2 linked regions of the Macaca mulatta genome follow. The protein of the gene in region 1 purifies or fractionates together with the protein of each later gene. This does not show direct contact. Links are inferred from orthologs where the notes say so. Each region holds a gene or a part of one and is shown on either strand. Other genes may lie near its edges.

Region 1 (6,467 bases):
CCCTTACACCAAAAACAAGCAAAAAGCCAGTAGATGTCTTTGAGTCTCTTAATTATAATTTCAGCATTCATATTGCTTCCCAAGTAAGTGGGGTTTTCACCCAGCCCTCAAGTTAAGGGTGTTAGATTATTTTTCATGTGAAATTAGCCAGACTGGGTTTCTAAACATGGTGCAAAACAATAACGACAAAAGTTATAATTAAACTAGTCTTCTTCCCAAATACCCACATGTCTAACGTGTGTGGGAGGGTGTTAGGCAGGCGACCTACATCTGGGGAAGAGGCAGACAGGCCCCGTGGCCCCAAGTCTAGGATGGCATGTGGTATTGGTTGATGGGTGAGAGCAAGAGAGGGAACACTTGTGCAGGATGTGGTATCAGCACCTGTACTACACCTTAGGGATTCCTTCTCTTTGCAGTATACCCTGACAATAATTATATCCATCAGCCTTACTCCCTTGGCAGCAGGAAAACTAATACTCTTAATGTCTCAGTTCCACTTTCTTAGAGGTGCAGGTGAGGACATAGGGAGTCTGGGGCCCTGGAAAAGCGTTCTGACTCTGCCGCTAGCCAGATAGACCTGAACTAGACACGTTACCTCTTTGTATCACTTGGCTCTAATCCCTTATCTGTGAAACCAGCATTTTCAAGTGGTGCTTTGCACATCAGCCTTTTGTATACACTTTCATTTAATAAAAAATTTTTTGGGTTTTTTGAAAAGGTTAAAAACCACTGGCCTAGCTAATTTCAAAGCTGGGTTTCCTTTTTCTGTCCCTTTCCTATTACATTTAAAACCTCACCTCCTTGACTTCTTGTTCCCTTTTTCTGCACTGCAGTCTGGGAACACTGAGGCCAAATAAAAGGAAACTTGGCTTGAGGGACACCTATGGGTGTGCCAGGCTGCTCCTGGTGTTTGCATATTTTAAAATTTAAATACTAGAAACCTCTGCATGTTAGGTATTATTTTTTCCATTTTACCATTGAGGAAGCTGGGGTTCAGAGAAGGTGCAGGGTGACAAACCTGAACTGGAACTCTGACTCCCACCTATAAGCTGTGGGGACTTAGAAAAGTCATGAGCTCTCACTGATTGTTTCCTCAGCTGATGTGGGCTGCAGGGCTGTTATGGGGGAAATAATAAGAAAGTGCATCAAGTGCCGAGCACATTCTAAGCACTCCATCGTGGCAGCTCCTACTACTAATACAGAATAGAGTTGAATCTAACATGACTCCTTGCAAGTGACAGAAAATCCAACTCAAATTGGATTAAGCAAAACAAGAGAAATTCTTAGTGAGCTGAAAAGCTTCAGGCTCACATGAGGCCCCAGATCCCAGGCATTCCTGATCATGGAGTAGGCACTATTTGGGGCACAAAGGTGACACCCCCATTGCTGCAGATGCTGTCATGGCTCTAGCTCTGCTGAGAAAGAATAAGAAAGGCCACTCTCCCCATTACATGAACAATAGTCTGCCCACTCTGAGAGACTGAAATTGGGTCATGGTCCTGCCCCTGAGCCCGTCACTGATTGGCTCTGACCTGCATCAGCTGTTCCATGCTGGAAGTAGAGGCAGGACCCCATTCATACCCAGAAGGGAGCAAAAGGTATCCCTCACCAAGATTATGGGGTGTAGGGTGAAAGGCTGCTGGGCAGCCAGAAAGCAAACAGATCCTCTACAATACTTCAGCTGATGAAAGCATGAAGCTAAAATCATAAGGATCTGAGTGCAAGTTCTGGCTGTCCCACCTTCCATGTGACATTGGGCAGTTATTTAATCTCTTTTAGCCTCAGCTTTCTCATCTGTACTTACATATAAGGTGATTGTGAGGATGAAGATTATGCATCTTCATCCTCACCTTCCAACACAACCATCATCCTCATCACCATCATCAACACGATCATCATCATTACTACCACTACCACCATCATCACTACCACTACCACTACCACCATCTTCACCATCACCACCACCATCGCCAATATCATCACTCTCAACATCATCACCACCATCACTATCATCACCACCATCATCATTACTACCACTACCACCACCATCACCACCATTCCACCACCATCACCATTATCATTACCACCACCATCATCACCATCACCATTACCATTATTACCTCCACCATCATCACCATCACCATCACCATTATCATCACCATCATCATCAATACTAAAACCATCATCACCATCACCATCATCACCATTATCACTACTACCACCATCACCATCACCACCATCATCATAAATAAACATCACATAACCGGCGTGTAGCTGGGCATTGACCATAGAGCCCACTCGCTGTTTCCTCCCTCCACCCCCATCCACACATTTCTAACCACCATCCTGCACTGGCTCCCTGTCTCCTCTGGTCTCACCCACATGTCCACTGAGAAAATGATTCTCAGAACGCTAACTAGACCAGGAGGAGTCACACAACATAACTCAGGTCTGTTTATCCATTTTCTATATGTTGATGACATCAGATTAATGGGTGTTCTCAGCTTCTCAGAGGGAGGTCGAAATTCTCCCCTTCTCCCCTTCATGTTTCCAGAACTCCCTTCAGTTGGATATTCCAAATGCAGAGTAGGGGTTGAGGCCAAGGGGCTCTTCCATGTCAGCCCCATCTGCAATGACTGAGCTGGTCCTGCGGCCCTCTCCCCAGGGCCCAGTCAGGGAGGGCTTCAATCCTCAGGTCACCTGTGGCCTACCCTGCCCTCAGAGGTGCCATCTCTATGTTGGCCACTGGATGGCAGCTCATACTCACAGACTGCATCAATTTCCTGGCAACTAGTGGTGGGTTTACCCCCTTATCAGGATGTTTGCCTTGCTCTGAGAGCAGATCCAAAAGCAGTGATATCTAACTTAATTTTCAACAAAATATTTTGAAAAGGGTGCTCCCTCACACATCTACACAGTCCAGGTCATGCACCCCCTGCCTGGTGCTTGGTAGTCAGGAGGAGCTTCCTCCATGCAGCTCCTTCCCAGCTAGGGCTGGGAAGAGCCTCTTCCATGCTGCTCATGTAAACTCCAGATTCAGTGTCAGTTTTCTGAACCTGAGACAATGATCTAAATGCAGTCCAAGACTCTGAGGGGGGAAAGAGTGCCTCAGCTCTTGCCTGTGTCACGCTCGCAAAGCAAAAGATTTTGCAAAATTCTAATGAAAGCTGGGCTTGCAAAATTGGAAAACTAGATTATTTGTGAGAGCACTGAGACATCCCTGGGCGTGTCCATCTGGAAAAACAGCATTCCCTCTGGCAATTTAGCAGATGTTCTGCAATTTGGCAAAGGAAATAAAGCAGTTTTTCACAAAAGAAAAACTACAACTGGGAGAATTGCCCCTAGTTGTATTTCTTCTCCCTAATTGTCAAGGAAGTGTAAATCAGAAAATGAATCAGGACAATTTCTCTCTACTATGTTAGCTAATATTTTAAAAATTGAATACTCACAAGGGTGAGGCGAAGTAATTGTTTCCAGTAACATTTTATACCGTCACACCCTTTTAGAAAATAATTTGGGAGAGTTACTGCGAGACAGAAGTATGTCTATGTAATTATGGGAGCTTAGACTTAAAATAATAAGAAATGAGAATGAACTTTATGAACAAATATGTGGAAGGTTGGAAGCAAGAGTGGGACCAATGTGCTTGGGGAGGAAGCATTAGGGCAGTGACTCCACAGACCCAGGCTCAGGCTGAACTACACAACCTCCTTACGCCTCAGTTTCCTCAACTGTAGAACAGGAATGATGAAAGTGCCTGTTTCATAGGACGGTTGTGAGGATGAAGTGACATACACCACATTAAGAGCTCGTGCCTGGAAAGGTTAATTCTTAGTAAATGATGGCTATTCTTTTTTATTGCGATAAAATATACACAACGTAAGAGTTACTATTTTAACTATTTTGGCGGGTACCACTGAGTGGCATTCGGTACATTCACAATGGTGTGCAGCCATTGCCATATTTTCAGAACGTTTTCCTCATCTCAAAACGAAACCTCATGCCCGTTCAGCAGTCACTCCCCATTAAAATATTAGTTATGAAGATTGTAGCATTATTTTTAAAACTCGTGATATAACAGTGATTGAAAAAATCAGTACGTAAAATTGTGCATTATGATGTCAGTAGTAAAGAAGCCTATAAAAAATCTGAAAAAAGTATATAAAAAGAATAGCAATTGCATTTCTCAGACACTCTTTACATTGTAAAAATCATTTTTGGACTTTCAACACAAAAGCAAAAAGTACACAAACAACCACCAACCTGAAAGCACTATGACAAAGCCCAGCTAGTTAAATCCAGGTCTCAGGAACACAGAATCACATATGATGTTTACACTCTCCAGGGTCAGAGCGGCACTGGGAGCTGCCTTGTGTTCTGCAGCCTCACGGACAGGCAGGAGGTCCAGCGCCGCTGCTCTGTTCTTCTGGTTTCCTCCTAAACTTGTTTTGGGTGCAGTAACCATTTCTTTCATCTTTTTAAACACAGGTACCTTTGGGGCTGGCCTTCTCAAGGAAGCCCAGCTTCATGTGATTGAGAATACAGTGTGCAATCACTACGAGTTTCTGAATGGAAGAGTCAAATCCACCGAGCTCTGTGCTGGGCATTTGGCCGGAGGCACTGACAGATGCCAGGTAAGAAAAGATCAAGAGACCAAAGTTAGTCTTGTGCTCTTCCATCTCGGTCTCAGCCCCTTAGACTTCAGTCCCAAAGTGACAAATTCTAGAAGGATTTGTCAATGTTAGACCCCAGTTTAAGTGTTGCTCACAAACTCCCTAGATCTGTCCCTGAATGCGTATTCAGATAATCTAAGGAGATGTCTTGGGGCTTGGGTTTGAGATCTGTAGCAAGGGAGTTTTAAGTGCCGTAACTACCTCAGGTCACTCACCCTCCTGGGGTGTGCTGGTGGCCAGGGACTAAAGTGGTGACTTTTCTGGTAGGGAAGGAGGTAGAGGGTACAGGACACAGACCAACTGCACACACTTTACAGTGATGCCCAGGCTAGGCCAGTCTAAAGGAAACACCAACATAGGAAGGGATGTGTGCAGGATTCACAAGGGGTTTTTTACTCCCAGGAGAAACTAAGTGGTGTGGTTTCACTGAATAGACTTTGCTAAGTACTCAAGCAGTGCAGATGCTCGAGTAATATGCTCATAAGTTCCTTTCCGATTTCAATTACCAGGAAAATATACATGTGGATAATAGACGAATGCCATAATAAAAGGCTGGCAAGCTAACCCTCACCTGAATTTTTCCCTACCTCTGTTTAGGGTGACAGTGGAGGGCCTGTGGTTTGCTTCGACAAGGACAAATACATTTTACGAGGAATAACTTCTTGGGGTCCTGGCTGTGCATGCCCCAATAAGCCTGGTGTCTATGTTCGTGTTTCAAGCTTTGTCACTTGGATTGAGGGAGTGATGACAAATAATTAATTGAACAAGAGACAGAGTGAAGCATTGACTCACCTAGAGGCTAGAATGGGGGTAGGGATTTAGCACGCTGGAAATAACGGACAGTAATCAAACGAAGACACTGTCCCCAGCTACCAACTATGCCAAACCTCAGCATTTTTGGTATTATTGTATATAAGCTTTTCCTGTCTGACTGCTGGGTTCTCCAATAAGGTGACATAGCTATGCCATTTGTTAAAAATAAACTCTGTACTTATTTTGATTTGAGTAAATTTTGGTTTTGGTCTTCAACATTTTCACGCTCTTTGTTCATCCCACAAATTTTAAATGGGCAGACTGAGGGGGTTTAGCTGCTTTTGATAAGGAACAGCTGCACAAAGCCCTGAGCAGGCTGCAAGGTCACAGAGGGGAGAGCTGAGAAGCCCTAGGAAGTTGTCCATGCATTTACCTCATCAGCTAAAGAGAGCTTGACACACATTTTTACTGTCTTTATTTCTAACACTGAGGTGAATGTTTTCAAAGCTGCAACATGTATGGGGAGTCATGTGAACTAGTTCTGTTATTGGGAATGAAATCTGTCACTGGCTGCTTGACTTGAGCCCCGGAGTACAGAGCAGAGAGATGTATATACCATGGAGTGAATCGGGCCATGGACGTGTAACACAAGACCAGCTGAGAGTCTGAATGTTATTCTGGGGCATATGTGAGTCTAGGACTGGTACCAAGAGCACATAAATGAACAACAAGCAAATATTGAGGGTAGACCACTTGTTTCCCATTGCTAATTGCCTGCCCGGTTTTGAAACAGTCTGCAGTACACACGGTCACAGGAGGATGACCTGTGGCAGAGACACATGTTTAGAAGGAAGAGAAAGGGAAAATGTACATTCTTTACAATTTCAAATTTTAATTGTCACCAAACAAAAATATCCACTCAAAATACAATTCGACAATGCAACAGTCATCTTACAGCACAGAAATGCAGAGAAAAGCAGAACTGCAAGTGACTGTGAATAACGGGTGAATATAGTCTCAAATCCTCAAAGAGCTGTGTTT
Region 2 (6,467 bases), on another chromosome or scaffold:
TATTGTAGGATAGCTTGAAAGAGGAGGAAGAAACTAGAGGCCATAGTAATATAAGGTAACATTTAAGTATCCTGATGTCAGTAATGGAGAAGAATGAAAGACTAGGATTGATCGGGTGACTGTGTGGGCAGAGGATGTGAGGAGAAAAGGACATCTTGTGTGTGTGTGTGTGCACATTTCTAGTTGTATATCTTCTACTTGTTTTCTCCCCCACCTTTTAGCTGTGCTTTCTCAGGGCCAAAAATGAAAATTTCCCTGTTACCAACCACATCATCTTGTGCATCTGTGTAGCTCAGTTTTTATTTCTTTAGATCTGTGGTCCTTGGAAAGAGAGCCCACTACCACCCAAGACACGTCTAATATAATACACAGGGCACTTACGTGGTTAGAAAATAAGAGATAAAAGTAGCTTGTTGGCCAGGCACAGTGGCTCACTCCTGTAATCCTAGCACTTTGGGAGGCCGAAGCGGGCAGATCACGAGGTCAAGAGATTGAGACCATCCTGGCCAACATGGTGAAAACTCGTCTATACTAAAAATACAAAAATTAGCTGAGTGTGGTGGCACACACCTGTACACCTGTAATCCCAGCTACTTGGGAGGCTGAGGTAGGAGAATCACTTGAACCCAGGAGATGGAGGTTGCAGTGAGCCGAGATAGCGCCAATGTACTCTAGCCTGGTGATAGAGTAAGACTCCATCTCAAAAAAAAAAAAAAAAGTAGCTTGTTTTGTCTAGGTGCAGTGGCTCACGCCTGTAATCCTAGCCCTTTGGGAGGCTGAGGCAGGCAGATCACCTGAGGTCAGGAGTTTGAGACCAGCCTGGCCAACATGGCGAAACCCCGTCTCTACTAAAAGGACAAAAATTAGCCAGGCGTGGTGGCGGGTGCCTGTAATCCCAGCTACTCAGGAGGCTGAGGTGGGAGAATTGCTTGAACCTGGGAGGCGGAGGTTGCAGTGAGCTGAGATGGTGCCACTGCACTCCAGCCTGGGCGACGGAGGGAGAATCCATCACAAAATAAATAAATAAAGTAAATATATGAATTTTAAAAGTAGCTTGTTCTTAGTTTAATATTCTTGTTGAGTTCTAAAACACTAATTTGAAAACATGTCTATTGATGGTATTTGAGCAACAGTATCCATATTAAACCTTTAATGTGACAGGAATTATTTTCTGTGTTATTTATTTATTTTTTTTGAGACGGAGTCTTGTTCTGTCACCCAGGCTAGAGTGTAGTGGCGCGATCTTGGCTCACTGCAGGCTCTGCCTCCTGGGTTCAAGCAATTCTCCTGCCTTAACCTCCCAAGTAGCTGAGACTACAGGCACCCACCATCGCGCCCAGCTAATTTTTGTATTTTTAGTAGAGACAGAGTTTCGCCATGTTGGCCAGGCTGGTCTTGAACTCCTGACCTAGTGATCCACCTACCTTGGCCTCCCAAAGTGCTGGGATTACAGGTGTGGGCCACGGCGCCCAGCCATCTCTGTTATTTCATTGTAATGTTTTAACAGGTACCCATTGTAAATTAGTGTAGGAAAGGGCTTTTGTCTGTTGTAAAACACTTTACAAATGCAAAAGTTTGTTGGAAATTGTATTTGAATGCCTCACATCTGTGTAACCAATCCTCTCTATATGAGGATGGTTGTGTATGTTTCAGTTTTATTTTGAAATTTTCTAGAAATGGAATCTTCTAACTGATTTTAGGGAAACCCTTTATCCTCTCTAGGCTGTCTTTCCTTATCTATAGATAAGGAAATAATAAGTTCTTTTTAGCTCTGTGATTTGAAAGCTTTAATTTTATTTTATTATTTTTTTTTATTATTATTTTTTTTTTGAGACGGAGTCTCGCTCTGTAGCCCAGGCTGGAGTGCAGTGGCCGGATCTCAGCTCACTGCAAGCTCCGCCTCCCGGGTTCACGCCATTCTCCGGCCTCAGCCTCCCAAGTAGCTGGGACTACAGGCGCTGCCACCTCGCCCGGCTATTTTTTGTATTTCTTAGTAGAGACGGGGTTTCACCATGTTAGCCAGGATGGTCTCGATCTCCTGACCTCGTGATCCGCCCATCTCGGCCTCCCAAAGTGCTGGGATTACAGGCTTGAGCCACCGCGCCCGGCCGAAAGCTTTAATTTTAAATGAGAGAGAGGTAGTGGTCTTTATGAAGTTTGATAAGTGGCAATACATTTAACTGATTTTGCTCTTTTTATGTGTAGATCATGGAAGGGAAGTGGTTGCTGTGTATGTTACTGGTACTTGGAACTGTTATTGTTGAGGCTCATGATGGACATGATGATGATGTGATTGATATTGAAGATGACCTTGACGATGTCATTGAAGAGGTAGAAGACTCAAAACCAGATACCACTGCTCCTCCTTCATCTCCCAAGGTTTGAAATGGTCTTTGAATCTATTCCTTTTACCTCTTGAGATGATAAAATTTTGAAGATAGCCAGGTGCAGAGACATGTAGTCTCAACTACTCAGGAGGCCTAGGACAGGAGTGTGAGTCCAGCCAGAGCAACACAGGGAGATACCATATCTAATAAAATATAAAAGAAAAACATCGTGAAGATAAATTTGGAACATTTTCAAAGGCAAAGCAAAATTTGCTAAAATACTTACTGATCTCTCTGGCAGCCTTTGTTATATCTTGCTAGAGGCCAATTATATGGGTTGAATTTGAAGGCTAGCTATGAAATTTTTGTGACAGTTGAAAGCAGACCAGGATAAATGATTCTAGGTAAAAAGGCATGTTGCTGAAAATTTAAATTTTTAGTTCATTTATATATTTAACACAGGTCACCTACAAAGCTCCAGTTCCAACAGGGGAAGTATATTTTGCTGATTCTTTTGACAGAGGAACTCTGTCAGGGTAAGTGTTTTCCAGAGAAATATATCTTAGAGGCAAACATTATGTAAATAAGATGGGATAGTGGATTCCTTTTTGGATAGCATCTTATATAGTGAAATGTCTAACTTTATTTTATTTTATTTATTTTTTGAGACGGAATTTCGCTCTTTTGCCCGGGCTGGGGTGCAATGGCGTGATCTCAGCTCACCACAACCTCCACCTCCTGGGTTCAAGTGATTCTCCTGCCTCAGCCTCCGAGGTAGCTGGGAGTATAGGCATGTGCCACCATGCTAGCTAATTTTTGTGTGTTTTTTTTTTTTTTTAGTAGAGATGGGGTTTTAACATGTTGGCCAGGCTGGTCTTGAACTCCTGATCGCAGGTGATCCACCTGCCTCAGCCTCCCAAATTGTTGGGATTACAGGCGGGAGCCACCGCACCTGGCTTGAAATTTCTAACTTTAATATCTTCAGTGTTAACATCCATGTAGGAAAATAGTCCTTTGGAATTTGTGGTTTTTACTTCCACTCCTTTCCCTCCCCCACTCTACCCTATATTTTGTTCTTTGATTGAGGAAAAAAAAATCTTCTCTTGATCTTGAAACATCAGTGGAATTATCTCTTAGGTTTGGTACTTTTTCATATAGGTTTGTGAGTTGAAGGTAATATATTATCATTAGTTGTGTGACAGATTTAAAGGTTGGAAGTAGAGTGGTTAAATAGGCTAAGAGCAGAATAAGTCTTATTTTTATGAGTATTTACATAATTTTCCCTCGCAAGACAACTGTCATTTTTAAGACTGATTTTGGGATTTGTGTTACTTACAGGTGGATTTTATCCAAAGCCAAGAAAGATGATACCGATGATGAAATTGCCAAATATGATGGTGAGAATTCCATTTGGTTTAGATATAATAGCAGATAGAGGTTTGACATGTTGTCTCCATGGCATTTCCTAGACTAGTTTAAAAGGAAATTGTAAGCTTTAAGATTTTTCCGGCCGGGCGCAGTGGCTCACGTCTGTAATCCCAGCACTTTGGGAAGCCAAGGCAGGTGGATCACGAGATCAGGAGATCGAGACCATCCTGGCTGACACAGTGAAACCCCGTCTCTACTAAAAATACAAAAAATAAGCCGGGTGTGGTGGCGTGTGCCTGTAGTGCTAGCTGCTGGGGAGGCTGAGGCAGGAGAATGGTGTGAACCTGGGCGGCAGAGCTTGCAGTGAGCCAAGATCACACCACTGCACTCCAACCTGGGCGACAGAGACTCCATCTCAAAAAAAAAAAAAAAAGAGGCTGGGCATGGTGGTTCATGCCTGTAATCCCAGCACTTTGGGAGGCCGAGGCGGGCGGATCACGAGGTCAGGAAATCGAGACCATCCTGGCTAACACGGTGAAACCCCGTCTTTACTAAAAATGCAAAAATATTAGCCAGGCGTGTTGGCGGGCGCCTGTAGTCCCACCAACTTGGGAGGCTGAGGCAGGAGAATGGTGTGAACCCAGGAGGCAGAGCTTGCAGTGAGCAGAGATCGAGCCATTGCACTCCAGCCTGGACAACAGAGCGAGATTCCGTCTCAAAAAAAAAAAAAAAAAAAAGATTTTTCCATGAAAGTTTTGCCACCTTTGTGCGTTGCCTAATGTTTCTTTTCTTTTATTTAAGGTTCGGGGTGCATGTGTAGCCTTATATTTAATAGGATTAGATCTGTTTAATCACCCGTGCTGCTGAATGTTGGAAATAAGTTATTTCAAGACAGTATAATATACTACAGTTTTATAAAACCATATCCTAATAATATTTGCCAAATAAAGTATGTTTGTTTATTTATTTACTTTCTTGAGACGGAGTCTCACTCTTGCTGCCCAGGCTGCTGGAATAGAGTGGCGCGATCTTGGCTCACTGCAACCTCTGTTTCTTGGATTCAAGCGATTCTCCTGCCTCAGCCTACTGAGTAGCTGGGATTACAGGTGCCCATCACCAAGCCCGGCTAATTTTTGTGTTTTTATTAGCAATGGGGTTTCACCATGTTGGCCAGGCTGGTCTTGAAGTTCTGACCTCGAGTGATCCGCCTGCCCTCAGCCTCCCTAAGTGCTGGGATTACAGGTGTGAGCCACCATGGCTGCCCCAGTATAATATATTTATGCAACTAGGAGTTTTGTTTTGTTTTTTTTTTTTTTTGGTGTTTGTAGGACCTTCAGAGGTAGAGTTAAGGAATAGAACTTTTTTGTTTTGTCTTGTAGGAAAGTGGGAGGTAGATGAAATGAAGGAATCAAAGCTTCCAGGTGATAAAGGACTTGTATTGATGTCTCGGGCCAAGCATCATGCCATCTCCGCTAAACTGAACAAGCCCTTCCTATTTGACACCAAGCCTCTCATTGTTCAGTAAGTGAAATGCTTGTTGGATAAAAGCTTTCTACAAAGGGTAATCTTAGAAGACATTATACAACTTTTATTTTATGTTAAAAAATTATGAGATTATATAACTTGTGGTAGGGATTTTTGGGTGAATTTAAACACCTTGTAATGGTTTTTCTTGCCTCATAAATTACTTTGAAAAAACTGGTTACTCATTTTCCTGACTGTAAATAACTTGTAGATTTTGCAGAACAAACTTACTGGAAATCTGCATTAATGTTCAATTTAATTTTATTTATTTTTGTGGGATTTGATAGCTATTCAAAAACAATAGAAGATGGAATCCTTTGTAAGGGGAAACATTTGACCTGTGATAAAACATGACCAAGATGAGGGAGAGAGGAAATACATTAAGAGAGTTTTGATCTTTCAAAATGCCATACGGTTTTCTGCCTTTCTCTCTGATATTAGGTACGAGGTTAATTTCCAAAATGGAATAGAATGTGGTGGTGCTTATGTGAAACTGCTTTCTAAAACACCAGAGCTCAACCTGGTATGTAATTCCCATTTCTGGAATGTAGCTGGACACCCACTATTACCTTGTAAGAATTTTGTAATTTGCGCCAGGTGCAGTGGCTCACACCTGTAATCCCAGCACTTTGGGAAGCCAAGGCAGGCGGGTCACGAGGTCAGGAGATTGAGACCATCCTGGCTAACATAGTGAAACCCCGTCTCTACTAAAAATACAAAAAATTAGCCAGGCGTCGTGGCGGCACCTGTAGTCCCAGCCACTCGGGAGGCTGAGGCAGGAGAATGCCGTGAACCCAAGAGGTGGAGCTTGCAGTGAGCCTAGATTGCACCACTGCACTCTAGCCTGGGCAACAGAGTGAGACTCCATCTCAAAAAAAAAGAATTTTGTAATACTTGTGAAAATAAAGGCTTCCTCCTGCTGTTTAACTCTTTTGATAAGTTGGGAATATTGACTTTGACACTAATGTGCTTTTTATTCGAAGTGTAAATTACAAAGTTGTTACCAACTGTTTTTATCTGAATTTCTGGTTTTGCTTCTGTGTAAGTTTTAGTTTTAGCAAGCTTATTTCTTTGTTTTACGAGGAAGCAGTAACTGTCTAGATGCGTGCATTACTTTTCTTAGGCACTTAAATGTTATTTTAAATTTACTGATGATTGCTTGTTATTCCTTTTCACTAAACAAACTTGTAGTTAGCTTTTCCTGTAACTGTCATTAATGTATTTGGAATTTTATAAGAGGAATTACCA

Evidence for each region.
Region 2: the proteins of LPA (region 1) and CANX purify together in Homo sapiens (affinity purification with western blotting; 3 studies listed by BioGRID). This does not show direct contact. The link is inferred for Macaca mulatta from reciprocal best matches to the Homo sapiens genes LPA and CANX.

Annotation. Positions count from the first base shown.
Region 1 is NC_133409.1:11,558,523-11,564,989, forward strand, and holds the end of LPA (apolipoprotein(a)), read left to right. Parts: intron 1-4,488; coding exon 4,489-4,634; intron 4,635-5,270; coding exon 5,271-5,432; 3' UTR 5,433-5,683; downstream 5,684-6,467. UniProt on the Homo sapiens protein: Apo(a) is the main constituent of lipoprotein(a) (Lp(a)). It has serine proteinase activity and is able of autoproteolysis. Inhibits tissue-type plasminogen activator 1. Lp(a) may be a ligand for megalin/Gp 330.
Region 2 is NC_133411.1:188,692,913-188,699,379, forward strand, and holds part of CANX (calnexin), read left to right. Parts: intron 1-2,205; 5' UTR 2,206-2,208; coding exon 2,209-2,379; intron 2,380-2,789; coding exon 2,790-2,863; intron 2,864-3,665; coding exon 3,666-3,724; intron 3,725-5,074; coding exon 5,075-5,216; intron 5,217-5,660; coding exon 5,661-5,742; intron 5,743-6,467. UniProt on the Homo sapiens protein: Calcium-binding protein that interacts with newly synthesized monoglucosylated glycoproteins in the endoplasmic reticulum. It may act in assisting protein assembly and/or in the retention within the ER of unassembled protein subunits.